Macaca fascicularis: one gene and its partners. The protein of the gene in region 6 interacts with the protein of the main gene of each other region in a pairwise test. Links are inferred from orthologs where the notes say so. Each region holds a gene or a part of one and is shown on either strand. Other genes may lie near its edges. The genes, in order: EVA1B, NAXD, PLAAT4, FXYD7, ZG16B, SGTA and C2H3orf52.

Region 1 (4,287 bases), on a different chromosome or scaffold from region 6:
TTTGCCTGCTTAGTCTTCCTTCCCTTCTCCTCCTCACTACCACTCCATCTACAACGAACCATCCAACAGGCACACACAATACTTAACCAAACCAATCCTGACCTCGCACAAAACTGCTGGTTTTGTGTCCGCCCCTCAGAAACCATATCAAAAAATGCCTTCTCGGTCCCACTTCAAGATTGGACCCTCACCAGCACGACACTCCATCCTCGCTATCAACGCTCCGGAGGGGTAAATGCACTTAAAAGTTACAAAACTGACCTCACCCCCTCCACCTCCAGGAACAAAGTTATCTTAGGGGCATTTACATCTGATACCAAGTTAGACCAACAGGCACCCCTTTGTATACTGCGTGACCTTCCCTCAGGAACCCCTTTAGGCAGTCTCCCCACAGGCTCATGCAACTACATCCTACAGCTCACCCCACCTGCTGGTATCCAGGTGCTAACAATATACAATCCCACTCAAGTATTCAAATTTTCTGGCCCCCCAAAAATCCAAACCACTAATCTCAACACAATAAACTCAGGTTTCTGCATCGATCGACACAAACCCGGTATGACAATTGCAGGATGGACTGCGTGCCCTAGCCCGCACCCAACCTCCAATTGTCTACAAACTCAGGTAGCCAGAGCCCCCACTGGGGAACAACTTTTAGTGGACACACAATGTTTCCTCCTACACTGGGAAAACGAAACAGTAGGGCTAGCCAACTAACCTCAACCCGCCCCTTCCAGCCACTCACCCCGGCGGCCCTGTCTTCCTCTCTCTCTGGCTGGTGGTCAGAAAACAAAATCCTAAAGCCCCTCTTTGCCACAGAACTCCAATTTTGCCTTCCTAGCCAGGGCATATTCTTTCTCTGCGGCACTTCCACCTATCTCTGCTTACCCACTAACTGGATAGGAACCTGCACACTAGTCTTCTTTAGTCCAAAAATAGACATAGCCCCTGCGGATAGACCCCTACCCTTCCACAATCAAACACTATCCCGCAGACACCGAGCCATACAGCTCATACCCCTGCTAATAGGGTTAGGCATTACAGCAGCTGCAAGAACTCGAGTTGCAGGAATTGCAGCCTCTACCTATTACTACAAATCCCTATCCAAGGACCCCTCCGATAACACTGATGACCCAGCATCCACTGTATCAACCCTGCAGGCCCAACTAGACTCCCTAGCCGCAAGTAGGCCTTCAAAACCTCAGGGGCCTCGATTTACTTACCGCAGAAAAAGGAGGTCTCTGCCTCTGCCTAGATGAAGAATGATGCTTCTATTTCAATCAGGCAGGCCTGGTTCAAGATGCAGTTAAAAAATGAAAGGACTGGCCAGGCGCGGTGGCTCAAGCCTGTAATCCCAGCACTTTGGGAGGCCGAGGCGGGCGGATCACAAGGTCAGGAGATCGAGACCACAGTGAAACCCCGTCTCTACTAAAAATACAAAAAATTAGCCGGGCGCAGTGGCGGGCGCCTGTAGTCCCAGCTACTCAGGAGGCTGAGGCAGGAGAACGGCGGGAACCCGGGAGGCGGAGCTTGCAGTGAGCCGAGATCGCGCCACTGCACTCCAGCCTGGGCAACAGCGTGAGACTCCGTCTCAAAAAAAAAAAAAAAAAAAAAAAAAAAAAGAAAGGACTGGCCAGGCATGGTAGCTCACGCCTGTAATCCCAGCACTTTGGGAGGCCAAGGTGGGCAGATCAGGAGGTCAGGAGATCAAGACCATCCTATCTAACCCAGTCTCTACTAAAAATACAAAACATTAGCTGGGCGAGGTGGCGGGCGCCTGTAGTCCCAGCTACTCGGGAGGCTGAGGCAGGAGAATGGCGTGAACCCGGGAGGCGGAGCTTGCAGTGAGCCGAGATAGCACCACTGCACTCCAGCCTGGGTGACAGAGCGAGACTCCGTCTCAAAAAAAGAAAAAAAAAAATTAAAGGATTGGGCTCAAAAAATCCGGGAAAACAGCTCTTCCACGTGGCCCCTCCTGGCCCCTATGGCCGTTCAGCTCCTGGGCCTCCTGGCTACTCCCACTCCCTGTACCCGTCATATTCATTCTCCTTTTCCTAATCTTTGGGTCCAGCCTCTTACATCTCTTTATCCAGTGTTTTTATTTTTATTTTATTTTTATTTTTGTGAGACAGAGTCTCACTCTGGCGCCCAGGCTGGAGTGCAGTGGCGCGATCTCTGCTCGCTGCAAGCTCTGCCTCCCAGGTTCACGCCATTCTCCTGCCTCAGCCTCCTGGGTAGCTGGGACTACAGACGCCCGCCACTGCGCCCGGCTAATTTTTTGTATATTTAGTAGAGACGGGGCTTCACCGTGTTAGCCAGGATGGTCTTGATCTCCTGACCTCGTGATACACCCGCCTCGGCCTCCCAAAGTGCTGGGATTACAGGTGTGAGCCACCGCGCCCGGCCGCGCCCGGCCTCTTTACCCAAGTTTTTACAGAACCGCATCTGAGCCTTTATCCACGGAACCATACAAGACATGATGCTACTCCAAGAATACCAGCAATTTCAAAGCCAGAACCAAAACTAACCCCTACCTTCCAGCCTCTCCCCCTAACCACCACTCCCTCTCAGCCAGAAGCAGCCTGATGAGAACAACACCCCCTTTTCTATCATCTATTAAAAGGCTGGAATGTTAGGGTCACCCCGACCAGACTGTTCCTCTCCTTTCCCATGGGTCTTACAATACAGTCCTTTGTGACCTCCGCACAGCTCCCCGAAGGCTATCGGCAAACTCCCCGCCACAACTGACCCTTCGAGTACCTGTTTGTCCGGAACACTTCAGCTGAACCGGCAAACGGTTCCAAGATGCGGTCAGAACACCTGCTAACTAAAGCTGGCAAAACCATCTCCAGGAGGCAATCAAGACACCTGCAGCCCAACTCGGTTCACACCCCTCGACCCAGTTCCTCGCCCTGTGAAGCCCTGCTGCAGTCTGTAAGTGGGGCTGCCTCCCCTGCCTGTCAAGGAGCAGCCTGGCAGGACAGATAAAAATGGCTCGCCTGACTTTGGGCCTACTCGTCCTTTCTCTCGGCTAACTGTACACAGGCCGTGCGGCGGAAGCACGCTTGGCTTGCTCAGGAGCAGGAGGCCCGAGCAGCAGGAATAGAGTGAGGGGTGAAGGGCTGGGAAGGTGGGGAGGTACCCAGGTGTGCAGACTCACGGTGTAGAGCTTTATAAGCCACACAGACCTTTGGATTTTCTCCTGCGTGGAGTGGAACCACTGCGTGGAGTGGTTGTAAACAGAAGAGGGACACAATCAGGGTTTTTGAAGGCTCACTCTGGCTACCACGTGCTGCCTGGACTGTGGCAGGGGAAGAGTGGGAGACCAGGAGGCCAGAGATGGAGGCTTAGGGTGGCTGCAGTGGAGCTGTGACAAGTGATTAGATTCTGCCTGTGTTCTGAAGGTAGGGCCAGCCGACAGGAGTAGCAGTGGCTTGGACATGGGGTGTGAGAGAGAAGGACGAGAGGGAGGGAGGGAAAGAGGGACGGAGGGACAGAGAAAGTCAAGGCCAACTTGGCTTCAGAGCCTGAACAATCCAGCCACCAAGACTGTTCCTCACTTCCTTTCCCACTTCCGCTAGTTTGACAGGTCCGGTTTGACTCTTCCCAGGGACACTGGAGACAGGGTGGCTAAAGGGGATGCCAGCTTCTCAGCTGTCATTTGGTCTGACCTTTCAGGGACACACGAGTGGTCGGTGTGACTGCACTAGTCCCACCCATCCTTCTGGTACTTTCCCCTTCCTTTGCTGCCACAGGGCTCACAGTAAAAACCTGTGAAGGAACAGCAATCCAGAAAGTGCACTTTTTTTGCTTTAAATTGACCAACTCACAGCCAAGAAGTTTAGATCAATACGCCAAACTGTTCAGGAGTGCCAAGGTGTACCAGGCCCAGACCCAGGTGCTGAGGAGGTAAGGGTGAGCAAAACAAAGCCCCTGCCTGCAGGGAGCTTCCTGTCTTGTGCTTTGCTGAATGTAAGAGTGACACGTGTAGGTGCCCAGGAGGTATCTGTGCCCTGAACAGAGGCTTAACGGGTGGCGGGACAAGAGTGAGGCTGAACAGAGACAAGGTCCAGAGCTGAGAGAGGCACTGGTGGATTGGAAGTGGGGCACCTCCCAGCAGAGCATCCAGCATGGGTAAGGCATGGGCCAAATGTAATGGGCAAAATATTTGGACAGCTGGCTGCTGGGGCAGGTATGGAACTGTGAGGTGAAGGGAGGAGTGAGGGGCCTGGGGCTATGCTCGGAAGCACTGCAGGGGATTAGCGCGTTCTCATGTCTTGGAGAGGC
Region 2 (3,725 bases), on a different chromosome or scaffold from region 6:
ACAGTGTGTCCTGGTCCTCACACTGTGCTCTTTTCACACGCATTAACGGTGTGTCCTGGTCCTCACACTGTGCTGTTTTCACACGCATTAACGGTGTGTCCTGGTCCTCACACTGTGCTCTTTTCACACTCATTAACAGTGTGTCCTGGTCCTCACACTGTGCTCTTTTCACACGCATTAACAGTGTGTCCTGGTCCTCACACTGTGCACTTTTCACACGCATTAACGGTGTGTCCTGGTCCTCACACTGTGCACTTTTCACACGCATTAACGGTGTGTCCTGGTCCTCACACTGTGCACTTTTCACACTCATTAACGGTGTGTCCTGGTCCTCACACTGTGCACTTTTCACACGCATTAACGGTGTGTCCTGGTCCTCACACTGTGCACTTTTCACACGCATTAACGGTGTGTCCTGGTCCTCACACTGTGCACTTTTCACACGCATTAACGGTGTGTCCTGGTCCTCACACTGTGCTCTTTTCACACGCATTAACGGTGTGTCCTGGTCCTCACACTGTGCTCTTTTCACACGCATTAACGGTGTGTCCTGGTCCTCACACTGTGCTCTTTTCACACACATTAACAGTGTGTCCTGGGGACTTTCACGGCAGGGTATGTGATATTCCTCATTATTTTTAACAGCTACATCAGAATTTACTACGGATCTACTGCAGTGTGTTTAACTAGTTCATTCACACTGTTTTCCGCTTTTTTTGTGTTAACATCAGTGGTGTCCTGAACCTATGTATTTTATCCACTCTTTTGGGTGTTAGAAGATAAATTTTTAGAAGTTCCGTTGCTGAATCGAAGAGTATGGACGTTTCAGTTTTGGAGAGATGCCTCCAGATTTCTCCCTAGCATACCGTGGTTTGCTTTCCCACGGGTGGGGACACCCTGCTGCGCTGGGTGCTCTGATGCACGTATCTTTCTAGGAGACCCATGTAACACTGCATTTTCCAGGGTTTGAATGTTCACTTTTGACTACTCTTTGCGAATACATTAAAAGAAAACACAGAAACAGATGAAAATGTCAGATTGTTGCCAAATCCTGCAACACAAAATCAGAAGCTGATCTAAAATCTGAACTAGCAGAAGCCTGCCGGCTTTACCGGTGAAGCCAAACTCAGGGCAAGCAGAGAATTTTTATTGTTAATAAAGGAAAGCAGCTTCAGGAAGTCTCAGGTACCCACCTCCTGGGAACGGGCTTCAGGACACACTGCTAATGCTCCGACCCGTGTCAGAGCCAGGTATACGCTTCCCCACAGCTGGAATGGGCGTCACAAACAAGCTGGAACGAGCGCTTCGTTAGGCGAGCAGCTAACGCTTTGTCAGCTTTCAGCTTTCATTTCACATACCTGACGTTAGTTTTCAATACCTTAAATTATTCTGACTTGGCATGTATTTTGTTTAATGCTCTCTATCTTAATGTTTTCTACTATCAGGTGTCTATCAAGTCAAGATCACTTTACATGCTACTGCGGCATATAATCTTATCACAATATATTGGTTCATAATAATAAAAGCCACCAAATATTGATTACATATACGTGTATGTATCTATACATCTAGTTTTTTTTTTTTTTTTTTTAATAGAAAACCTTTGACACCTTCACTGTAATCCTATCAGGGAAAAATGATTCTGTTTATTATTGTCACTTACTACTTTAAAATATGTAAGTAAAGTGATATGAAAAATACATCATGACTAATGATTTGGGGAATTCTCAGGAATTCAGATTTCTCGCCTCCGAATGCTGCGGATTAGTATCTGTTGGAGAACTGGAAGCCCTCGCTGGGGCGGGGGGTGTGTCTTCATGAGTTAGCCTAAGAGCCCAGCTCTTGTTTATAGCATTTCCACTGGGCTTCGCCTTTCAGAGTTCCCAGTGTCCTGCCTTATTTAGGGGCTCTGCTAGTTCATTGGGTCTTTCTGCTTCTCTATTTTATTCATTTACTTGATTATTTTCCATTTATTGTTTGATGACCTGATGTTGCATTTAATTAAGAGTCTGCTCAATGTTCTTTCACTGCTGTTGGGAAAAGCGTCTTAGTCTGTTTCGTGCTGCTATAGCAGTGCCACCGACTGGGTAACTGACAATGAACAGGCGCTTACTGGCTCGTAGTTCTGGAGGTGGATGTCCATCTGGCGAGGGCAGAAGGGCAGGAGAGAGACACTTTATGCCCCTTTTAAAGGTCATTAAACCCACCCATGAGGGCACTGCCACATCACCTTTTAAAGGCTCCACCTCCCAGGACCCTTCCATTGGCAATTAAGTTTCACCGTGAGTTTTCAGGAGACACCATCCACACCATAGCAGAGGCAGCAGGTGTGGTACTCAGCCTGGTTTTCTCTTCTGGCAGGGCATTTTGGAAGCATCAAAGGCCAGGGACATCCCTGTCGTCATTGACGCGGTGAGTTGACCTCTCTCCTCCTGGCTCGGACTCCCGGAAGGCCTGTGCAGTGAGCACGGCTCCTTGTTCTGTGCAGGACGGCCTGTGGCTGGTCGCTCAGCAGCCAGCCCTCATCCAAGGCTACCAGAAGGCGGTCCTCACCCCCAACCACATGGAGTTCAGCAGACTGTATGATGCTGTGGTGAGTCAGTGGACTCCCTGGAGGGTGGATGCAAGCCCCATTCGTCCTGAAGAGGGTGAAGGACGCGCTCCATGCTTCTGCCCAGCCTGTCCCTGTGGGCACATCTCTGCAGGGATGCAGACCTGCAAGTAATCGCTGTGCCTCTCCCGGTGGATGGCCCGTCTTCGCATTAGTGCTCTTGGATTGGATGAATGATGGTGTAGTGGGCTTGGGACAGGCAGGGACTCGGGTCAGCCAGCCCCTCCTGCAGCACACTGGACAGATCACTTTCTGTGTCTTGAGTGCCTCGTCTATAATGTGATGATGGCATCTACTTCACGGGGTTGTGAGGATGAGATGAGGAAACCTGTGTGAAGCTGTGAGTCCCACACGGTGAGTGTCCCGTCAGTGTTAGCGTCCAGTACAACTGGAATTCGTATTACTCCTACAAAGCTCTCAGAACCCAGCCTTGGGCGGTCCTCCTTCAGCCTGCTCTGACCAGGTAGAGGACGGGCACTGCAGCAGGCACCGTGTCGGCGTCTGCCCGGAGGACTCGCTGCAGGCGACATTCTGGGCTTCCTTCCACCTACGTGGCCTTTAGCAGGTGCCTGGGTGATCCCTTTAGGCACGAGAGCGTGCGTCTCGTGGCGGACGGGACAGGGCCATCCGTCACGTCGTGTGTCGTGTGTCTGAGGAAGACTTTGCTTTTTCTGTGTCTTCCTGTGTTGTCATAGCTCAGAGGCCCTGTGGACAGCGATGACCGCCATGGATCTGTGCTGAGACTCAGCCAGGCCCTGGGCAATGTGACGGTGGTCCAGAAAGGAGAGCGCGACATCCTCTCCAATGGCCAGCAGGGTAAGTGGCGGCTGCCCTCTGTGCATGGGCTGGTGCCAGGTCAGTCAGCGTGGCCGTGCTGAGTGCGAGCCCTGGAAGACCTCTCCCGTGCACACGTGTTCACGCGCATTCGCACAAAGGGATTCCTGCTGTCACCCACACCTTCTCCGGAGTCCATGTTTTGACTTCTCACTGTTTTGCCGGGGGAGGTGACCGTGGTGAAAGCCATGGGCCTTACCCGCCGGCTGAATTCCCATGCCTCAGTTATGAGAGGCAGTGTGGCGGGAGGGTGCGTGCAACAGCAGGGCATTCCCCAGCT
Region 3 (3,069 bases), on a different chromosome or scaffold from region 6:
CAATTTGGGCTTGGAAAGAATATTACTCCATCTAGTAGTCACAGGTGGGTGAGAACTCAGACCTTTGAGCTAAAAAAAAAAAAAACAAAAAACTTTCTAAAAAGAGGGCCAGTTGAGGAAGGGAACGGGGAAGATGCTGGTAGATGCGTAGGTGTTGTGAGTGGATTTAAGCACCACATGAGACTATACTGGGAGGTAATTAAGTTTTTTTTTTTTTACCTCCCTGAGAGTAAAATTAATGACATGCAATTACGTCAATGTTATGTCTGTGTAGAATGATAAAGATAATTCACTGAACATCTGTTACGTACCAGACATGGGGCTGGGTGCCGTGTATGCATTATCTTAGGTGATCCTCCTGACATCACCTGACATGGAAGAAATGAGTTTCAGAGAATCAACAGCCTTCTCCAAAGTCACCCAGCTGGAAATTGCTGGAACTATCCAGTGGGTGTTCACTCAATGTTACTTTCCTCCTTTGTGATTCAGAAGTCTATAAAAACATGGTAGAATTCCTTTCTGAAGGGACAGATGGCTGTTTATTGATCCTTCAATCTTATTTCAATTAGATCATACTTTCACCAGCGAGAGAAGGAAACAGAGGAAAGGATCTAGAGAGAGCCTGAGACAGAGCACGAGGGTCAGGCTGCTGGAGGTGTGGGGGAGGCCTGGGACCCCCACATCTCCACTGGGACCCCCACATCTGCTTCTAATACAGGATTTTGTGGCTGCTTCAGGCTGTCACTTTTGGTATTTCATAATCGCAAAAGAGCATCCAGCAACAGCCGCTCCAATCATCGCGAACGCACCGACTTCAGCCGCGGCATTTTCCACCTGCAAAGCAAGCAGCTTTTGTTGAGCGTTCGCAGCAAGCCAGGCTGGCACTTTCTCCCTCCCAAGGGCCTGGAACTCCTCCCCGTCTCCCCTCTCTCCTGCCTCCCCTACGGCCTGGCATCTCCTCTTTTCTCTCCCAGCTGACTGGCTCAGAATCCTCTCCCAGAGAAGCCGTTGGCTGTATCCCCAGGGACTCCATTTTCTGGGCTGTGACCACTTCTTGGTGTTGGGTTTATCTGGGCTTGTCCTTAGAATGTGCCCATGAGATCCTTTTGAGAGAGCTTCCAGGTGAGGACATTTGTTCGGATTTGCGGCGAGGAAGAAGGTTTGTGCCTCACTTCCTAGGGCCAGAGCTCCAGGGGCCAGACTGGGGACTGTTTTGCAGTCTGAGTCCTCCTTGAGCTACACCGTTGCACAGGGAGGGCTGTGGCAGAAGCTGAGGGGAGACTTAGGGAGGCCATGGCCATATGCGTGCCCTGGGGTCACTGTGTACTATTCCCAACTGCAGCCTGGAAACTTCCATCTCCAGCTCTACTTCAGCCTAAACTCCAACTCCATGCCTTATCTCCACCTGGGCCTCTAATGGGCACCTCAGACATCACATGCCACGCCAAACTCTCGATTTCCCTCCCCAAAGCCTCTCCTCCTGCCATCATCCCCATCTCATCAAGGACGCGCATCCATTCAGTCCCGCAGGCCAGGGGCCCTGAGCTGCTACACGGCAGGCATCACAGGCACAGACTCTAGAAAGGACAGCCCGGGTTTCAATCCTGGTTCTGCCACTTATTAGTTGTGTGTTTTGGGGCAACAAATGTGAAAGACTATGAAGAGGCAAGGGATAGAGGCTGCAGATCTTACACACAAATGTCCTTGAGCTCTTACACAGGTCGGTGGACCCTGAGCGTCCCTTGCCTAAGTGCTCTTTGGGGGGTTGTGGGACCTGTCACGGTCCTGGGTTGGCCCAGATTCTCCTGATGACCCCTAGAACTTCAGGAGTCATTTTCAGGATAGGGTTTAGAGGGGAAGGATCCTCAGAGGTCCTCCATCCACCCACTCTGCACATGGAGAGGCCTGGAGGGGAAGGGACCTGTCCAAAGACCCTCTGTGGATTAGAAGCAGATCTGGCATTGGAGCTCAGAGGTCCTGACTCTCAGTCAGTGGGTCTCCAAGAGGCTGCGTTTGCATCATTCACGGTGATCGCCTGGTTGCATAGCCCAGTGAGTCCAGCCCCAAGCAGACCTCCCCAGGGGAGATGGATTATCCAGAGAGATCCTTACCTGTTGACAGTGGGACCTGCCATATCTCAGCTTGGTGACAAAGTGTTCACAGTTCCTGCTCACAATACTGTACTTCATCTTCTGACCAACCAACTCCTTGGCAGAACTGATGATCACCCCCACGGGCAGTGGTTTGAACCTACGGTCCAAGCTGTTGTTGACCCGATAGTTACAGCCTTCCAGCACATCTTTCAGGAGCTCCTGTTTCACCACTGCAATGCCGCCCGGGACTGAGAAGGCACTGGAGGAGCTAGCCGCGGGGTACCCATCTGCAATCAGAGGCATTCTCATTGGCAGGGGAAGGTGAAGTAGGGAGAGAAGGGCTTGAAATCTCCACTAGGGAACTACTGCTGTTTATCCTTTCACAAATGTGACTGGAGGATTCACAGATTTGGCTTTTTTTTTTTTTTTTTTTTGGACGGAGTCTCGCTCTGTCGCCCAGGCTGGAGTGCAGTGGCGCAGTCTCAGCTCACTGCAAGCTCCGCCTCCCGGGTTCACGCCATTCTCCTGCCTCAGCCTCCCGAGTAGTGGGACTACAGGCGCCGGCCACCACGCCCAGCTAATAGATTTTGCTCTCTCTTTTTTAATCAAATAAGGTGTGAATGTTTGTTCAAGTCAGTGAATGTCATGATTGCCAGTGGCTGCTACCATATTCCATGCTATGCATGTGCATCACTTCTGTGGCCAATCCCCTGTTATCAGTCATTTAGGCATTGGAAAAATTTTCATCATTATAAGCAATGATGGTAAAGCATATTTATTACCTGTTCAGCTTTGTACACTCGTGTTTTGGAAAAAGATCCACTTCGTTTAGTACCCGCTGTTTCAGTTACCATGCTGTGCTGTTACACATACTTCCTAATTTAATTTCCTTTTTAACTTTCAAGGAAAATACTATCATCTCAATTTAAAAACCAGTATCGGGCTGAGAGAGGTATCATGAGACTCTTCCGTGCTA
Region 4 (4,447 bases), about 39 Mb from region 6:
TGAACCCGGGAGGCAGAGGTTGCAGTGAGCCAAGATTGTGCCACTGCACTCCAGCCTGGATGACAGAGCGAGAGTCCATCTCAAAAAAAAAAAAAAAAAAAGAAGAAGAAAATGGTGAATTTTCCAGTTGTGATGGTGCTATAAAATAAAGCTCATCGTTTTTAAAAAGCTAATCCTGGGTTGGGCATGGTGGCCCACGCCTGTAATCCTAAGCACTTTGGGAGGCCAAGGCAGGTGAATTGCTTGAGCCCAGGAGTTTGAGACCAGCCTGGGAAACATGGCAAAACCTGTCTCTACAAAAAATACAAAAATTAGCTGGGTGTAGCGGGGAGTGCCTTGTAGTCCCAGCTACTCGGGAGGTTGATGTGGGAGGATAGATTGAGCCCAGGACTTTGAGGCTGCAGTGAGCTGTGATCGCACCATTGCACTCCAGCCTGGGTGACAGAGCGAGACCCTGTCTCAAAAAATAAAAGTAAAAAAGCTAATCGTTTGAAGGAAAAAAATTAAATAAATAGCAGTGTGAGGAGTATTTGAATAAAGTGAAAATTGTGACGGTAATACTCAAAAGCACCAAGATGGTGAAACACTGCCTCAGGGTCCCTTGTGCTCTGTGTAAGTTTCCCCACCAGAGAGTGAGTAAATTTGTTTGACTCATCGCTGCTGTTCATCCTGACATTTATGAAAGGCTCTCCAAGTTTTCTCGGATGAATGAATGAAGGAATGATTATGAGGCGGTCCTAGGCTGCAGGAGGCTGCAAAAGGTGGATTGTCTCACTAGTCTTTTCCACACACCTGCCCTTCCCCAAAGTTATCAGGAGCCCACTGGGTGAGCACCTGTCCCAGAATCTGGTGTTCCATGCAGGAGATCCTCCTCTGGTCCCTGCTGCCCCAGCAACCTGGGCCCCCAGGCGTGGCTGGGCTAAGGGTGGGGCCAGGAGTCAGGCAAAGGAATGTGCACTACTCCTGGCCAGCTGCCAAGGAGATATCAGGAAGGAGGTGGTTGCTATGGTAACTGGGGCATCTCGTGAGGTGAAGAGAGGTGATAGGTCCCGGCATCCCAGGCTGGGTGGGGTCCCTTGTGAGGTCCTGTGTAAGATGCGGGTTTCAATCTTGACCCTCTCCCCTCCTTTTGCACCTCCTGCTGTTGCCCCTGCAGGACTGGCTTCTGGCCAAGCTGAGGGTCCATTTCAGGGACAGGGACCCGGACCCAGCTGTGCTCATGCATCCCTCTTCTGTTCACCCCTAATTCTCCCGCCCGTTCTCTGGCAGGGCGGAGGGAGACAATCTCCCTTCTTCCCCCCTCGCTCCCCAACAATTCATTAATTAGTTTCCTTAAGCAGTTTGCAATGCACAACATGCTTTTCCTCCCCCGGGATTTCCCGAGACCCGCGGTCCCCTCTCATGCTGTGACTGGGAAAGGGGGAGGCAGAGGAGGTGGGGTTGAGGAGTCTGTCCTCCCACCTCTGCCCGTCTGCTGCCATCGATCCTGTTAACCACCACCTCTGCAAAAAGAAGCCCTGGGCTCCCGCCAGGCCTGCTGCCTCAGCCCTGCCCCCTCTCCCCAGGGTGGCTTCCAGCCTCTGCAGCCCCCCCCACCCCCCGCCCTGCTTCGGATTCTGCAGATATGGCTCAGTGCAGCAGCCCCCGCCTTCTGGGAAGCACGGAAGGGAGGGAGTCATCCAAGCGGAATTGGGGTTCCCTTCACGGCCAGGGGCTTCTCAACACCCCTGGTCCATCCCCTGCCCTCAGTGCTGGAGACCCTAGCTGGGCACCCGCTCCCTCTTGAAGCAGTCTGTGCCTTGCTCCTCTGCAGAAGCAGGCTTAGCAATGGGGGGTATTAGGGGGCAACGGTGGAAGTGGGTGTTCAACTGGGTGCATAACTGGGTTAATGGGTGTGGAATGGAAATCAGTGTGCGGCTGGATGGGGGCAGTAGGGGCAGTTAGGTGCATACCCAGGTACACCTCTGGGACTGGAAAACACCCCTGCTGTGGGCTGGGAAGGAGGGTCCCATCACCCCATTCCCACCCATGGGGGTTCACTGCAGTGGTTTGGGCCCCACCCCACACTGCTTCCTTCTCTTTCTATTCCCCTCTTTCCCCATGGGTCCGTCTCTCTCCCTCCCTCTCTCTGCTTCTCTCTCCATAGCAGTCTCATTCCCGCTATCTCCCAGGCTCTCATTTTCTCTCTCTCTCTCTGCATCTCTGTCTACCGTTCTTTGCCACTCGCCTCCACTGGGAATCTCTCTGAGTCCATCTATTTGTCTTCCTGGGTCTTTGTATCTGTGACTCTGGATCTCCTGCCTCTCGGTCTCTGTCTCTTCCAGGTTCTCCCTGTCCATCTCTTGCTATATCCCTTCTCGCTGTCTCTTCCTTCAGCTCTCACTCCTTTCCTCTGAACCTGGCTGTCAAGGGTTTCAGGAAACACACACCCTAGGAGACAGCACTGGAAAGAAGAGGGACATGAACCTCCTCCCCTTCCCTTGCCCACCCCAGGGACCCTGAAATCTTCCAGAACGTCTCTGGCCGCAGACCCACCCGCTCCCACCCTGCAAGCTCATCTCTTCCCGTCTGCTACCACCACGGTGCGGGACCAGCCACCCGGTTGCCATAGCGACCTGTCCGAGCATCCCTTCTCCCGGGACTGCCACTCTCCAACCGCAGGTCTGGCACAGGACACCCGCCGGGGAGGGGGTGTCCCAGAGACCCGGAGGGGCGATCGGGGGGCTGCATTACAGGGGCCTCCGCCCACAGAAGGAGCAGACCTCCCTCCCCCCACTCCCCTGCCTTACCATTGCTGGAATCTCCCGACACCCTCTCTCCTAGGCTCTCAGATCCCGGAGCCCCCCTGCAACCCCCTCCCCAGACGACGCTCACCCTTTGTGGGGGTCTGGGTCGGGGTCGCCATGCTGGGCCGGAGCAGGGGGCTGCTGGATGCCTTGGCGGCGAAGGCGCGCTGCAGCAGCTGGAAGCAGGACGGACCGATATGGGGGGGAGCTGGGGGGAGCCCTGGCGTGGGGGGGCCTGCAGCCAATGGGGGCCCGGGGAGCCCGCCCCCGTGCAGGCCACCCCCGCCCCCGCCCCCGCCCACCACCGTCGTCCCCGCCCCTTCCTCTAGGGTGGGGCGCCCCCTGCTGGGGCCCAGGGGCGCTGGGCTTTCGCGCTGAGGGACCGACACCGACAAAGTGCTGTCGAGAGGAACGCACGTTTTATTGGAAGTCTGGGCGGCAGGGGGAGTCTGCCGGGGCAGGGCTGGGGAAGGGGCGGCGGAGGGGGCGGTGGGCGCGCAGGTGGAGCGTGGGAGACGTCAGGTGCCAGGGGAGTCCTGTGGGGTGAAAAGGGTGAGTGAAAGGCGAGGGGGGAAGTCCAGCACCACCCCTCGCCGCCCTCCAACCCTGGCACTTGGCCCCTTCCCTCTCCCGCCTTTCCTTCCTCCCTCCTTCCCTCCCACCGCCGTGTCAGAGCTGCAGCACCTGGCCGGATTCCATCGCGCCAGGTGTTTCTACCGCCTGCGGGTGGACAGACCTGGGGGGAACACGGAGATCGGGGGTCATCAGGAGGGGCATCCCCAGCTCCTGGGCAGGCGGGGCAACTCCCCGCCCTCTGCTTTCAGATATAGCCCCTCCCTCTACGCAGCCGGGGAGGGCCAGGAAAAGGGGTCCTTGGAACCAGCCCTCTCCCCAAAATACCCGCAGTCTCCCCAGACTCACGGCGGATGGAGCTGCGGAAAGTTCCCTCCTCTTCATCGGGTTCCCCAGTCCTGGGAAGACAGAGGCAGAGGGACTTCGGGATGGAAAGGGGGAGAGGCTGCCCTTCTAGGAACCCCCAGTACAAGCCTCCTTTCCCAGACTGGTGTAACGAGGCCCAGATATGGACGAAGAACAGGCTCGGGGTCCGCCAGAAATAAGAAGCACCCAGGAGCAGCTTAAGTGCTTTGCAGGGGGCTTCCAAGCCGGTTAACAGTGAGTACCTCCGCGGATTTGGGGGCAGGGATGTGAAGTTGGTAAGGGAGGGATAGTCAAGGGGACTTGGCAGACTGTCATGAGATGGCCTGGGTTGGAAACCCAGAACCCCCCATCTTCCACTTGAGTGATCTTGAACAAAGTGACTTTACCTCCCTGTGTCTCAGTTTCTTTATCTGTAAAATGGGCTTAATAACAGCACCTCCCTCCCAGAGGAAGTGAAACCGTATCTGACACGTGGTACACACCCAATAAATATTAGCTACTGCTTATGATAATATCTATAATTGTTCTAACATATTCACACATGCTTTAACATTTTATTTGAAGAGGAATCAAAGAGCTAGGAACAGGACTCTAAGCTAAACTGGGCCGCGTGTGAGATGATCTCATTTCACCGCCGTTCTTTCTTTCCTGCACTTTGTGTTATCACGCTTTGTGATTTTTCTATCTGTGGAACCCACGGCCACCGCCTCCACTAGGCTGGG
Region 5 (3,125 bases), on a different chromosome or scaffold from region 6:
GGGGTTTCACCGTGTCAGCCAGGATGGTCTCGATCTCCTGACCTCATGATCCGCCCGTCTCGGCCTCCCAAAGTGCTGGGATTACAGGCTTGAGCCACCGCGCCCGGCCTGGCCTCTTCTTTATACCCCCCAGTGCCAGGAGAGCCTGGTGAGGACAAGGCCTTGGCAAACATTTACTGAGTGAATGGGTGAGTGAGTGGCTTCCCTGAGGCCCCTTGAACACTCAGAGAAGCCTGGGACTGAGTGGCCAGAAGAGGCCCGCTGGATGGGCCTGGGGTGAGGGACAGTGGGGAGTGGTGGCCTTGAAGCCTGACTCTTCAAAGATTGTGGGACTGGCACAGAGACCCACAGCACCCCTGAGGGGGTGGTGCTGCTCTCTTTCTGTCCTCGGCAGAGTCACCTTTGCCCTATCCCTCATCTCAGTTCACTGGGCTCCAGCACTGCGGCCTTTGTCTCCAAGGAGCAGGGGAGGGTTTGGTTGTACCCCAGATGCAAGGACCAATCCTGGATGCACTGATTTTGCAGAAGCTTTATTTATTGGTGGATTCAGGTTCAGCGTCCCGACTCAGTTACTCCAGTACCATCAGCCACCACCACCCGGATGGCCTCAGCTCAGATGGCCCCGTACCCCACCCTAGAGACCCGAGGGTGCCTTTGATGGTCATGTGACAGTAACTGGCGGTTCAGTGGTCGGCTCCTCTAGTGGGTAATTCCATTCAAAGCCAATGCTCTTGATGCCGAGGAGTCCATATTGGCCATAGATGCCCACCAGCACCTGCCCCTCTTGGCTGGGGTAGACAGAGAAGATCTGGCCATCGAGCTTCCCAAAATAGAAAGTGCGGTCCTTGCTGGTGTACAGGACCATACCCCGGAGGAAAGTTTGGAAGGCGACAAAGACTTTTGTGATGTATTCGCCTGGCTGCAGGGTGACTTCCTGGGTATTCCCACCTGAGGCGCCCTGTTTCACATCCCAGGTGTCTCCAAGTTTCACCTGGACACTGGGGGAGAGGCAAAGCTTTGGACGCCCAGATCTGGGATGGCCCAGCACATCCCGGGTCCTCAGCGCCCCCACCCTCCTTCCCAGGATGCAGAGAGTCCAGCGCCATCAGAATTCGGGTCCCTGACACAAACTCACTGGTCACCAACCCTGGTTCTACCACTTTCAGGCCCTGTGATCTTGAGCTCATTACTCAGCCTCTTCGGACTTAGTTTCCCCATCTGCAAAGTGGATGTGATTTTTGGGAGGAGTCACTGAGGTCCAGGCGAGGAGAGCTCCGCGCAGTGCCTGGTCCACGTGACTGCAGAAGGCACCAGTTGCCGTCACTGTGGCCCACATATGAGCTGCCTCTGGCTGAGCCTGGACCTCCCCAGCCTTAGTCACTCTGAGCAGAGCAGCTCACAGACCGAGGGGCAGGTGACTTCCCACACTCACCGGCACTTCCCCGACGGGGCTTATCTGCATCCCTCCCTCACCCTGCTGCTCTCCTAGGACGCACCCCTCCAGCTCGCCATGCTCACACAGTCTCCTCTGCTGTTGGGCTTCTCTCCCCTCTCCCAGGACCCCAGAACTCCTAAGTGCAGGGCAAAAATCCATCCCAGACCTCCAGCAGAGACACCTCGATATGAAGGAAATGGTCCTGGATTTCTGCCTCTAACACTTCTGCTGACTCATGTTCAGTCAGTGGTCCACTCTGACCCTTACCTCCTGTCTTCTTTGACAGTAATCGGACAGACTTTTCCCTGACTTTCCTATCAGGCATGGGGACGGAGAGGTCATTTTTGGTTGAGTTGAGCTTGGGTTGAAGGGAGAAGGTAGGGAGGACGGTCTGACCTCTGCTCAAGCCATGAAGCATCGGTGGGAGCCAGGCATGCGTGGGAAAACTGGCTACAGGTGCCTACCGGCTGCCCCGAGTTCCTAAAACTGTGGGATGGGTGGGGACATGGCCTCACTCACCTTTTCACCAGGAGAAGACCCACAGACACCCGCAGCCCTGTAATTTCATGGTCGTAATCTTCAGTGGTGGTGAAATACTTGCCTCCTCCAGGGCCGTACATCTCTGCAGAAAAGAGAACAAAAGGGAAGAAAATCCCCACTCAGTGATATGGGGGCAACCTCTGCCAGAACAGGGGACCCCGCCCCTCCAGGCAGACAGGATGGTTCTGTGACCAGAGTTAGTCTGGGACAAGGGCCGGGTGAGGCCCTGGCTCTCCTGGAGGGAGGCAGGGGAGGTTGAGGGCAGACTCCACCGACTTACTCCCTGCCCAGGTAGGGCCCCCCAGGAGGGCAAGCGTGAGCAGCAGCAGCATGGCCTCTGGCCGGTGCATCCCAGGGCTCTGTGGGAAGAAGAGAGGCCTCCTGACTCCAAAGCAAGGGCCAGTGTGGCCTCGCTGGGCCCCACCCATGGAGCCAAGCACCTTACCTCGCCTGTGACTGGGTGTCTGATTGTGTTGGGCACCCTTCACATGGCCTTTATACTCTCCTGGGCCCTCTGGGCCCCCATCCAGAAGGAAGGAGCAAGGGGCCACCAGGGGGACAGGAAGGAGCTGGCCGTGGGGCTCTTCCTGGGGGAAGGCCCAGGGCCGGCCTTGGGGAGGCTCCCGGACGTGTGGCATTTGCTGTCTTGGCTCTGCAGCCTACATAAACAGAGCTGGGGACAGTGACAGGCACTTCACGATCACCTCTGGGCTCTCTCAGTCAACACTGGTGCCGACCTGGATGGCAGAGTTGGGGAGAGGCTGGCTTATTGGCTTCCACCCGAGGGTAACAGGTCAAGGGTCCACAAAAGCTCCGTGGGGCCCCCTGCCACCGTGGGCGACCTGGAGTCAGGGCCTCCTTCAGACTCAAGCAGCACCTGGTGCCTGGCAGGCTTCCTAGGACCCAGGCTGAGCTCGATGCAGGCCCCAAGAGAGCTTGAATGGACCACCCAGCCCTTTGTGTCCTGTGCCCTGTGCAACAGGTGCCCCAGGCACTGGCCCTCAAGGCACTGCCCTTGGAGGCTGCCTGGGTTTCTCCTCTGTGCTGCATCTGGGTGGAGCGGGTATGAGCCAGTGTTCAGGGGCTCAGAGATCATAGGAGGGAAGGACACCAAAGGTGCAGTCCTTGCCACAATGGGAGGCAGAGGGCC
Region 6 (4,190 bases):
TCTAGCTCAGTCCCCTGCCCACTCCCCACATCGAAGTCCACTTTCTTCTAAAATGCCACCAGGAGGTCACTGTACACATAAAAGCCCTCAAGTGCTCCCTGGAACCCCAGGAGTGTGCATAGGAGGCCCCCCCACCAGCTGGGGGTCGTCTGTGGGGCCTACACCAAACCCTGTACGTGCCACTCAAACTCAAGTGCTCACCTCTCCTGCCCAACTCTAGGAGAGAATCTAGTATTCCTGCAAACTCCATCTCTGGCCCAGCATCTCTTACAAGGCTTTCTACCTCTTGACAGACCCAGCTTCCCTTTGAACGCCAGCATCTGGCAGCGTCTAAACCCTATGGACTCAGGAAAGCCTTCGATGGTTGAAAAATTCACAGACACGTGGTCAAGTTCCTTGAAATGGGGAGGCCATTTCTCTCTGGGTTTCTGTTTCCACCTCAGTAAAAGAGAAAACGGGCCAGGTGCAGTGAGGCACGCCTGTAATCACAGAACTCTGGAGGCCAAGGTGGAGGATCGCTTGAACCCAGGAGTTTGAGACCAGCCTGGGTAACACGGTGAAACCCTATCTCTAAAACAACAAAATACTAAAATTAGCCGGGTGTGGTAGTGCACACCTGTAGTCCCAGCTACTCAGGAGGCTGAGGTGGGAGGGCCTGAGCCCGGGAGGTCGAGGCTGCAGTGAGCGGAGATTGCGCCACTACACTCCAGCCTGGGCGACAGAGCAAGACCTTATCTCAAACCACCCCTTTTATGCCTTCGGCCTGTACCGAGCACTTCCTACCAGGGCCACTGTTGGGTCTTGGCAAAAAAACAACCATAGAATTGAGTAAGACTGCCGCTCTCAAGGATCCGTCCAATCTGGGGCAGAGCTCACCCCCATTTGGAATCATTCACCCTTCTAGGAAGATTTAATTATAAACCTCAGCTCAAATCCTTGGCGCGCTTACAGCTTTCCAGGCACCCAGCTAAGTGCTGTACATGCGATAGCTTATTTTAGGGGTCAGCAGAGGTTTTTCTGAAAAGGGCCAGACTGTCTTCAGCTCGGCAGGCGCTAAGGTCCCTACGGCAACTGTTCAACTGTGTCTTCTTAGCTCGAAACCAACCACAGGTAACATGCAAACCAAGGAGTGTGGCTGTGTTCCCACAAACCTTCATTCCCAAAAACAGGCCAGAGGTGGATTTGGCCTTCTGGTTAGCTGATACCTTGCCCGGTTGAATCCTCACACACCTGAGGTGGTTACTTTTATAATCCCCATTCCACAGAAGAAAAACTGAGGCTTGGAAAGATGGGAACCACCCAAGACCACCCAGCTAGGAGGATGCAAATGAGGCGTTCTGAACCCAGGCAGCCTCACTTGAGAAGCTAAACTCCAAAGTGCCCACTTCTCGCCACACAAAATTGGGTGCACACACAAAACTTTGTATACCATTTCCCGGGCCCACACACTCCCAGCTGCCCATGCTGGGGAAGAATCACTGATCTAGGGTAGGTTTTTTTTGTTTTTTGGTTTTTTTTGACAGGGTCTCGCTCTGTCACCCAGGCTGGAGTGCAGTGGCGTGATCTTGGGTCTCTGTAACCTCTGCCTCCTGGGTTCAAGGGATTCTTCTGCCTCAGCCTCCTGAGTAGCTGGGATTACAGGCGCACGCCACCATGCCCAGCTAAGTTTTGTATTTTCAAGAGAGACGGGGTTTCACCACATTGGTCAGGCTGGTCTCGAACTCCTGACCTCAGGTGATCCACCCGTATGGTAGGGTGTGGTTTTTAAAGCGTTATTGACATTCAAAGTTGGATCGTTTTCTGGGGTGGGGCCGTCCTGGGCACTGCAGGGTGCTGAGCAGCAACCCTGGCCTCCACCGACTCCAAACCAGGGGGTCCCCTGAATCGTGAAAAGCACAAATGTCACCAAGAATCTCTGGGGCACAGAATTGTTCCTGGTTGAGAACCACACTGGTCAAGGGAGGGAAAAGGCAGAGAGAACGAATAATCAGAGACAGAAGCAAAAGTAAACGGGACAATGATCCAACCTCTGAGAGGCACATTGCACTGCAATTTTCTGCCACCTAATAACAAAAACAGCTGTTCTCAAGCCAGCTCTCTCTTATCAAGTTCCAGGCACCTGATCAAATCATTGAATGTGGGCTTATCCTCATAATGACCCTCCCAGACATCTGCTTTTACAACTCGTTTACGAAAAAGAAGGTTTGCTCAGAGAGGGAAGGCAACTCATCCAGGTTTACACAGCGGGTGGGTGGTGGTGGTGGGCTGGTTCTGAATCCCAGATTTCCCCCACCTCTAGCACGATATGCAGAAGAAGACTCTAAACATGAAATAAGACGAACGGCTGCTAATTCTTTGGAGTTCTCAGATTCCGCTGGACCCTGCGGCGGCTCTCATTCTCCCAGGCAGGGACTTCTGACAACGCCCGTTTTACAGACGGGAAAACTGAGGCTCCGAGAAGCCAAGAGGCTGGGCAAGGTCACCCAGGTAGGGACTGGCGACGCTGGGACCAGAGCCCCGACTTGAGTCCCCACAAACGGGGGTCCCCGAGTCACAGGGACGACTTTTCCAGGCAGTTAGTAAGAGCGGAACGGCAGCGAACACCCAGCGAGCGCTCAGTACATGCGGGGCGCCTTCCCCTCCAGCCGTCCTCGCCACCAGTCCGCGGACCAGCATTTCCAGGACCTGGGGCCCGGGGAAGGGAGATCAGGGCTCGAAGGGCCTGCCGATGCCGCCCGGCCTCAGTTTCCCCTCCGCTCCGCCTACTCACAGGACCCCGCGGGTCGCGCTGACCCTGGCCTCACGATCCCCAACCTCTTACGGGCTCTGGGGCCCCGTGAGCCCCGAGTCGCAGACCCCACACCCGCCAGGCTCAGCACAGTGCCCCTCACTCACCTCTCAGGCGACCGATCCCCGACCCACCGACGGTTGCGCTTGCGCACCGCGGAGCCGCCCGGCCCCGGCCCCCGGGCGCGACGCCTGCGCAGAAGAAGGGCTCCCCGGGTTGCTTCCCTTCTGCACAGGCGCGTTAATGATCGAGGTGGGCGTGGAAGGAAGTGACGCAACGTAGAGGCGGGAACCAGCTGGTCGTTAGGGCAACTGACCTCTACGACCTAATGGAGGCCGGAAGTCGGGGCTGGTTTGCCCTCTAGGGCGGGAACGAAGCGGTGCACGGTGGAACAGTGGCTGACTCCAGCCGGTCGCCGAGCTGACCACGTGGTGCTGGGCCGGCCACGTGGTGCAGCCGCGTTTGGCCACCTGGACTCCAGAGCGTCATAGCCCCGCAATGAATGGGAGTCAGTGTTGTCCGCTCGCTATCTTTGTTCATTTATTCACCCACCCATCTACTCACCCACAAATGCATTCTTTCATGCAGTCAATTTATGAGACGCTTGTGAGAATAGAAACATTAGTAGGCAGCAGGTGCCTAATATTCCATATTTATTGCAAACCAGTCATAAAAACCAGCAAAGTGTCTACTGTCATTATTTTGCATTGGGGTAGACGAACTATAAACTAATAAACTAGTACATAAGTAGATAAACAAGAAATTTCACAGCTAACACTACAAAAAAAATGAAGGTGGTGTGATTGCCACCGGGAGCTAAGTTGTATGGTATGGGTAGGAAAGATCATCCTTTAGATTTGGATTTCAAGGATAGGAAAAAGTCCAAACGGACCCCAGGCACAGGGAACAGCAAAAATGAAGGCCAATGTAAAAGCTTGGTGTGCTCAAGACATATGGAAAAAAAAATAGAGATGAGAGATGAGAAATTTCCAAGGACGACAGAAAACTGATCACCATCTGAGTTATAATTGACAGAAATGTTCTCCCAATTCATTGTTGTCCTACTCGAAATACATGCACGATTAATGGCGTGGATTATTTTAATTTCTTTTGCAGAAATAAAGAAGGTGAGACCGGGCGCGGTGGCTGACACCTGTAATCCCAGCACTTTGGGAGGCCAAGGGGCAGATCACTTGAGGTCAGAAGTTCGAGACCAGCCTGGCCAACATGCTGAAAACCTGTCTCTACTAAAAATACAAAAACTAGCCGGGCGTGGTGCGGGCATCTGTAGTCCCAGCTACTCGGGAGGTTGAGGCAGGAGAATCGCTTGAACCCGAGAGGCAGAGGTTGCAGTGAGCCGAGATCGCGCCATGGTACTCCAGCCTGGGCGACAGAGTGAGAC
Region 7 (4,519 bases), on a different chromosome or scaffold from region 6:
GAGCCAATGCGTCCAGCCTGAAATAAATCTTACTTGCCTCAAAACTATCAATTTACTGGTTTATTATTCTTCAAATGATGTTGCCATCTCTTAAAATGCCTCTGGGATTTCTATTTGAAAACTGAGCCAGAGCCCCTGTAATGAACCATAAAAGAAAACCAGCCTCACTCTATTACCCATAATTTCTTTTTCACTTTTGATCCAAGCATACTGCCATGTTTACAGTGACAGCAGGCAAAGTAGAGTTCAGCGGCTTCTATTCCTTTGTCTCAAGTGCCAAGCACACATCAAGAAAGGGAAAGAAGTTCTTTCTACTGCTTTTGTTCACTCTCCCATCACAGCTCTTCCAAGGAAGAAGAGAGATGTCTTCTTCCCAATCATTCCAGAACTGTTCCCGATTCCTCACCCATCCACCTGCAACTCCATCATTCCAGATGTGACACTCAACTCCTAGCTCACTTAAATTACCTAATTATAAATTACCTAACTTACAGAAATTAGTAATAATTAATAATGTAGGCAACTATAAATAAATGAGTATAAATTATATATGACATATATTTAAATTAAATGCTGATAGATGATAGATGATTGATAGATAGATAGATAGATAGATAGATAGATAGATAGAATAAATCAACAGAAACAGCATAGTTTTGAGATCTAAAAAACATACATTCAAGCTTCAGAGGCACCACTGAGGGAACGTGAGCATTTTGGTAACTCCTCTGAGCCTCCCTCAATTTCTTCACTCAGCATCTTTAATCTGACAAACCAGAATACTGATGCCTTCCTCTTAAGTTAGCTGTGATAATTAAATGCATTTATGCATCAAAAGTATTTGTCACAAGACAGTCACTAAACAGGGTGAATGAAAATACATGAACTTCAGCTACATTGCAAAATTAGAAATCTTAATATACAGTTCAAAGAGACCAACACACAAAATTCTTAAGTGTCTGAATCTTGTCTGAATCTTTTTAATAAGCCTATATTTATTGACTTTTCTAACTGAAATACACTTCACCTTATTTTATAGAAAAAAAAAAGAATGATTATCACATTAGGTGATGCTTTTTTTTTCTTTGTTAAAGATTTCCCTTTAACAAAGTCCAAGCATTCCTTGAACACACTCCAAGTGCTCCTGTAGCCCTTCACCTTCACTCCATCCTGTTACTGAGGACAGCTCTCCTATTGGGTGACCTACAAAGTTAACTTACAAAGAAGTCTAGGCTATCTGTACATACCTTACTAACAAGGACGTCATGGGAACATGAAACAACCATTGCTACAGGGTAGGTGCTAAACAATTACAGAATACTGATAACCCTGCATGGATTTGGCGTGTTCTACCCATCACCTGTTTTCAACAAGGCATTCCCGGGCCTCACAGAAGTCCGAGTAGGCACACATTACCACTACGGGACAGCCTTGCCCCTGGGACACATTGTTTAGTGGTGAAACTGTCACCAGATCTCTGGATTCAGTCCCAAGCTAGGGAGTTTTTAGGGTGTCCGGGTCTGTCTAATCTGAGGCAAGTATTTCCAACTCCCATTCCCAGACACCGTCCTGGAGGACCCATACAGCAAGTTCACAGTTGTGGCCACTTGCACTGGTGACCAGACTATCTTTGTTCAACCTTCATTCTTCTGTGGCATTCATATTTTATTCAGAAAGAAGTTTCCAAATTACTCTCCAGAGTACCTATAAAAGCAAACTTTGCAATAGTTCCAGGAATCAATGTAGAGCAAAAGCAATGCTTTCAACTTTTGAATTTCCTGCTTATCCCTAAAATCAACAGCTGGGCAGCCAAAAAGTTGGAGGTGGAGGAGTGGGGCCTAGAAAGATGAGGTCGGGGCTCAATATGGGGAGTTCTGTGTACCCAGAAAACCTCAAGCCAATCTTAAGAGTTAATCAGAAGGTGGATGGCTGGGAAGTCAAAGCTCTGATGTTTTACAAGTCTTTGATGAGAGCGAATAATGTTTCCATCATTGCTAGGGTTGAAGCAGAAAAGAGCTTGGCCTAAAAATTGCCAGGGATTGAGAGGAGGTAAAAGCAAGGTGGGCGAAGTCTCATCCTTCGAGACAAGAACTTTGAACTTATTTTCTTTCAATTGAGCAGGGCAAGTTCACCTCCACCTGCCCCCCCGACCCGCCCGCACCATCCCCACGCCAGCCCTAGTCCTTCTCCTTCGGACCGCTTTCTCTCCTCTGTGCTCTCCCCTATCTCTCTTCCTGCAGAATCGAATGGCCAGGCTGGGAGAAGGCAGAAAGTGCTTGGCGGATGGTAGGCATGGAAGAGGGCTGGGAGCTGCGGCGAGGTGGGTGGAGGCAAGGGAGAGACGCGGCAAGGCAGTGAAGGTAAGGGGAAAGCTTAAGAGATTCTTAGAGAAGGAGGATACTCCATCTGTCATTCTCATTCTCCCTACTGGAAAAAAGAAAAACTGAATTAAAAGTTACATAACTTTAAAAAACTACCTCTATCTCCGGAGTATCTGAAGACAGGAGCGGCCACACCTCACCCCTAGGATTCCTAAAGCGCCTCGGGGGTCGGAGGGGTTGGACGACCCCAGGGGCTGGGGAGGGGACTGCTCCGGCCGAAAGGTGTCGCGGTTACTCGGCTCCATTCAGAGCACTCGAGCGCGCCCCACCCTCGCTCGGCGCCGGCGACGCCCCGCCTGGCTGGAAACCCGAAACTCGCGGGTGCCAGGCCCGGGTCCTACTACTGTCCCGCCGCTGGCAGGTTAGGGCCAGCGCCAAGGGGACCTTACCTCGGCCGGGGGGGCCTCCTCGTCCAAAGAAGGGAAGACCTTGACCGCACCATTGAGAGGCGTGTGCTCGTTTGGCTGCCGCACGAGCACCGAGAGCTCCAGCTCGTCTACGGGTGGTGAGGGTTGGGCCAGGTCCATGGGCGGGCGGAGAAGGTCTGAGCCGCTCCGAGGGAGGCCACAGCGCAAGGAGGGTCGAGTGACCTCACCGCCTCACACTCCACCCACTGGGCGGGGCGCAGCGGACTTCGGGCGGCGGGAGCGACCGGAGCCGACAGGAGGGGCGAGCGGTGAGTGGCGGCCACTCCCCGGAGCGGGTAGAGCACCTAAAGCCGTGCTCGCAGTGGGCTCTAGAGCCGAGGGCTGTTTTTCTGGTTTGTTCAGGGCGCTGCCTGCTGTGCCTTTCCCCGCGCCTGCAGATGCGGACCATCTGCGTTTAGGGGCTGCCTGGGTGTCGGGCTGTGGTAAGGAAAAGATGGGCCGGGCCGCACCGTCCAACGGAGGAAAGTTTGCGATCTAAGCCCACGAACTGTTGGTTGTTGGGGTTTGCCACAGTCCTCGCGGTCTAGCAAAAGTGCATTCATTCAATCAAGAAATAACCATGCCTCGTGCCAGCATGGTGCTAGGTTCTGAGTATATGAAGGTGAATAATATACACCAACACACTTCCTCGTCAAGTCCAGAGTCAGGCACAGAGACAGTATTGTGTGGTGCTGGGGACAGTGGACTCTAAAACCAGTGTACCTGGGTTATTCTCCACCCAGGGCGTTCCTCACTGTGAGACCTCGGGCTTCATCTCTCTGTGCCAATGTCCTCGCCTGGAAAGGTGGTGTAATATTTGTACCCTCCTAATATAGTTTTTACCAGGATTACAAGGGTTGCTGTAAGCAAGGCACTCAGAACAGTGATTGACACAGCAAGCACTCATAAATGTTGACCATTACTATTTATCTTTGAGGGGAGGGGCCTTACACACACACACACACAAAATTCCTGCGCACACACAATCTCCTTGACGCCCTATCTATAGTTCAGAACTTCCGGTTTAGTTAGCATGGAATTATGTTTGTTAAGCACAGCGTGGATTGGGCCAAGGGCTTCACCTCTCAAGCTTCTGTTCCGAATAGTCTTGTTCCTTATTTTCACCCTCCACGCAACACACACACACACACACACACACACACACACACACACACACACACACACATTAAGACCAGATCATTAACAAGAAGCATATAAATCAGCTCCACTCCAAATATGTTGACTTGAGTCCAAAAGTCTGGCATATTCAGTGCCTGATGTTGAGACACAGCCTAGCTATCCTGTCTGCAGTTGTCTGGTGCCTGCTACCAGATCCCCTGAACTTTGGATCCATCCGCCTGCTAAGGGGAGTCTGCAGTGACTCATCTGCTGACCTGCACTGACTTCTGCTCCAACAGGCAGATCCTGCAAGAATCAGGCTGCATTCTCAGCTGGGAGTTTTGAACAGGAATTTTAACCAAGGAGCAAGGGTTAAGGGAATCAACAAGGAATGGTGAGGTACCCAGGGACTAGCAATAGCACGAAGCTGTTAACACTGTTAACACTCCTAGGCCTAAATGGGACTGGAGACTGATTAAGAACTAGAACCACTGAAGGGTGTGGGAATTTGCAGGGAGATCTTGATAGGATCTGTAGTCACAAAAACATGCAGACCTGACTGGAAGCACTGAGACCTCTCAAACTTCTGAATCTCCCCACCCCCATCCTTAT

The links.
Region 1: the proteins of SGTA (region 6) and EVA1B interact in binary tests that used the Homo sapiens proteins (3 or more experiments, as listed by UniProt). The two-hybrid records come from large-scale screens. The link is inferred for Macaca fascicularis from reciprocal best matches to the Homo sapiens genes SGTA and EVA1B.
Region 2: the proteins of SGTA (region 6) and NAXD interact in binary tests that used the Homo sapiens proteins (3 or more experiments, as listed by UniProt). The two-hybrid records come from large-scale screens. The link is inferred for Macaca fascicularis from reciprocal best matches to the Homo sapiens genes SGTA and NAXD.
Region 3: the proteins of SGTA (region 6) and PLAAT4 interact in binary tests that used the Homo sapiens proteins (3 or more experiments, as listed by UniProt). The two-hybrid records come from large-scale screens. The link is inferred for Macaca fascicularis from reciprocal best matches to the Homo sapiens genes SGTA and PLAAT4.
Region 4: the proteins of SGTA (region 6) and FXYD7 interact in binary tests that used the Homo sapiens proteins (3 or more experiments, as listed by UniProt). The two-hybrid records come from large-scale screens. The link is inferred for Macaca fascicularis from reciprocal best matches to the Homo sapiens genes SGTA and FXYD7.
Region 5: the proteins of SGTA (region 6) and ZG16B interact in binary tests that used the Homo sapiens proteins (3 or more experiments, as listed by UniProt). The two-hybrid records come from large-scale screens. The link is inferred for Macaca fascicularis from reciprocal best matches to the Homo sapiens genes SGTA and ZG16B.
Region 7: the proteins of SGTA (region 6) and C2H3orf52 interact in binary tests that used the Homo sapiens proteins (3 or more experiments, as listed by UniProt). The two-hybrid records come from large-scale screens. The link is inferred for Macaca fascicularis from reciprocal best matches to the Homo sapiens genes SGTA and C3orf52.

The regions. Positions count from the first base shown.
Region 1 is NC_088375.1:198,586,348-198,590,634, reverse strand, and holds the start of EVA1B (protein eva-1 homolog B), read right to left. Parts: upstream 2,851-4,287; 5' UTR 2,761-2,850; exon of another isoform or gene 2,710-2,760; intron 1-2,709.
Region 2 is NC_088391.1:101,212,974-101,216,698, forward strand, and holds part of NAXD (ATP-dependent (S)-NAD(P)H-hydrate dehydratase), read left to right. Parts: intron 1-2,361; coding exon 2,362-2,412; intron 2,413-2,488; coding exon 2,489-2,593; exon of another isoform or gene 2,594-2,965; intron 2,966-3,306; coding exon 3,307-3,427; intron 3,428-3,725. UniProt on the Homo sapiens protein: Catalyzes the dehydration of the S-form of NAD(P)HX at the expense of ATP, which is converted to ADP.
Region 3 is NC_088388.1:10,869,443-10,872,511, forward strand, and holds the end of PLAAT4 (phospholipase A and acyltransferase 4), read right to left. Parts: intron 2,381-3,069; coding exon 2,112-2,380; intron 835-2,111; coding exon 742-834; 3' UTR 517-741; downstream 1-516. UniProt on the Homo sapiens protein: Exhibits both phospholipase A1/2 and acyltransferase activities. Shows phospholipase A1 (PLA1) and A2 (PLA2), catalyzing the calcium-independent release of fatty acids from the sn-1 or sn-2 position of glycerophospholipids.
Region 4 is NC_088393.1:42,383,965-42,388,411, reverse strand, and holds the start of FXYD7 (FXYD domain-containing ion transport regulator 7), read right to left. Parts: upstream 2,986-4,447; 5' UTR 2,906-2,985; coding exon of another isoform or gene 2,875-2,905; intron 2,667-2,874; exon of another isoform or gene 2,494-2,666; intron 1-2,493. Other genes in the region: FXYD1 (phospholemman), read right to left, coding at 3,500-3,522, 3,708-3,757. UniProt on the Homo sapiens protein: Associates with and regulates the activity of the sodium/potassium-transporting ATPase (NKA) which catalyzes the hydrolysis of ATP coupled with the exchange of Na(+) and K(+) ions across the plasma membrane.
Region 5 is NC_088394.1:3,536,655-3,539,779, forward strand, and holds the end of ZG16B (pancreatic adenocarcinoma up-regulated factor), read right to left. Parts: intron 2,448-3,125; exon of another isoform or gene 2,421-2,447; intron 2,335-2,420; 5' UTR 2,326-2,334; coding exon 2,256-2,325; intron 2,058-2,255; coding exon 1,955-2,057; intron 999-1,954; coding exon 662-998; 3' UTR 512-661; downstream 1-511.
Region 6 is NC_088393.1:3,463,665-3,467,854, forward strand, and holds the start of SGTA (small glutamine-rich tetratricopeptide repeat-containing protein alpha), read right to left. Parts: upstream 2,937-4,190; 5' UTR 2,896-2,936; intron 1-2,895. UniProt on the Homo sapiens protein: Co-chaperone that binds misfolded and hydrophobic patches-containing client proteins in the cytosol. Mediates their targeting to the endoplasmic reticulum but also regulates their sorting to the proteasome when targeting fails.
Region 7 is NC_088376.1:170,999,438-171,003,956, forward strand, and holds the start of C2H3orf52 (TPA-induced transmembrane protein), read right to left. Parts: upstream 2,928-4,519; 5' UTR 2,909-2,927; coding exon 2,771-2,908; intron 1-2,770. UniProt on the Homo sapiens protein: Has a role in LIPH-mediated synthesis of 2-acyl lysophosphatidic acid (LPA). LPA is a bioactive lipid mediator involved in different biological processes, and necessary to promote hair formation and growth.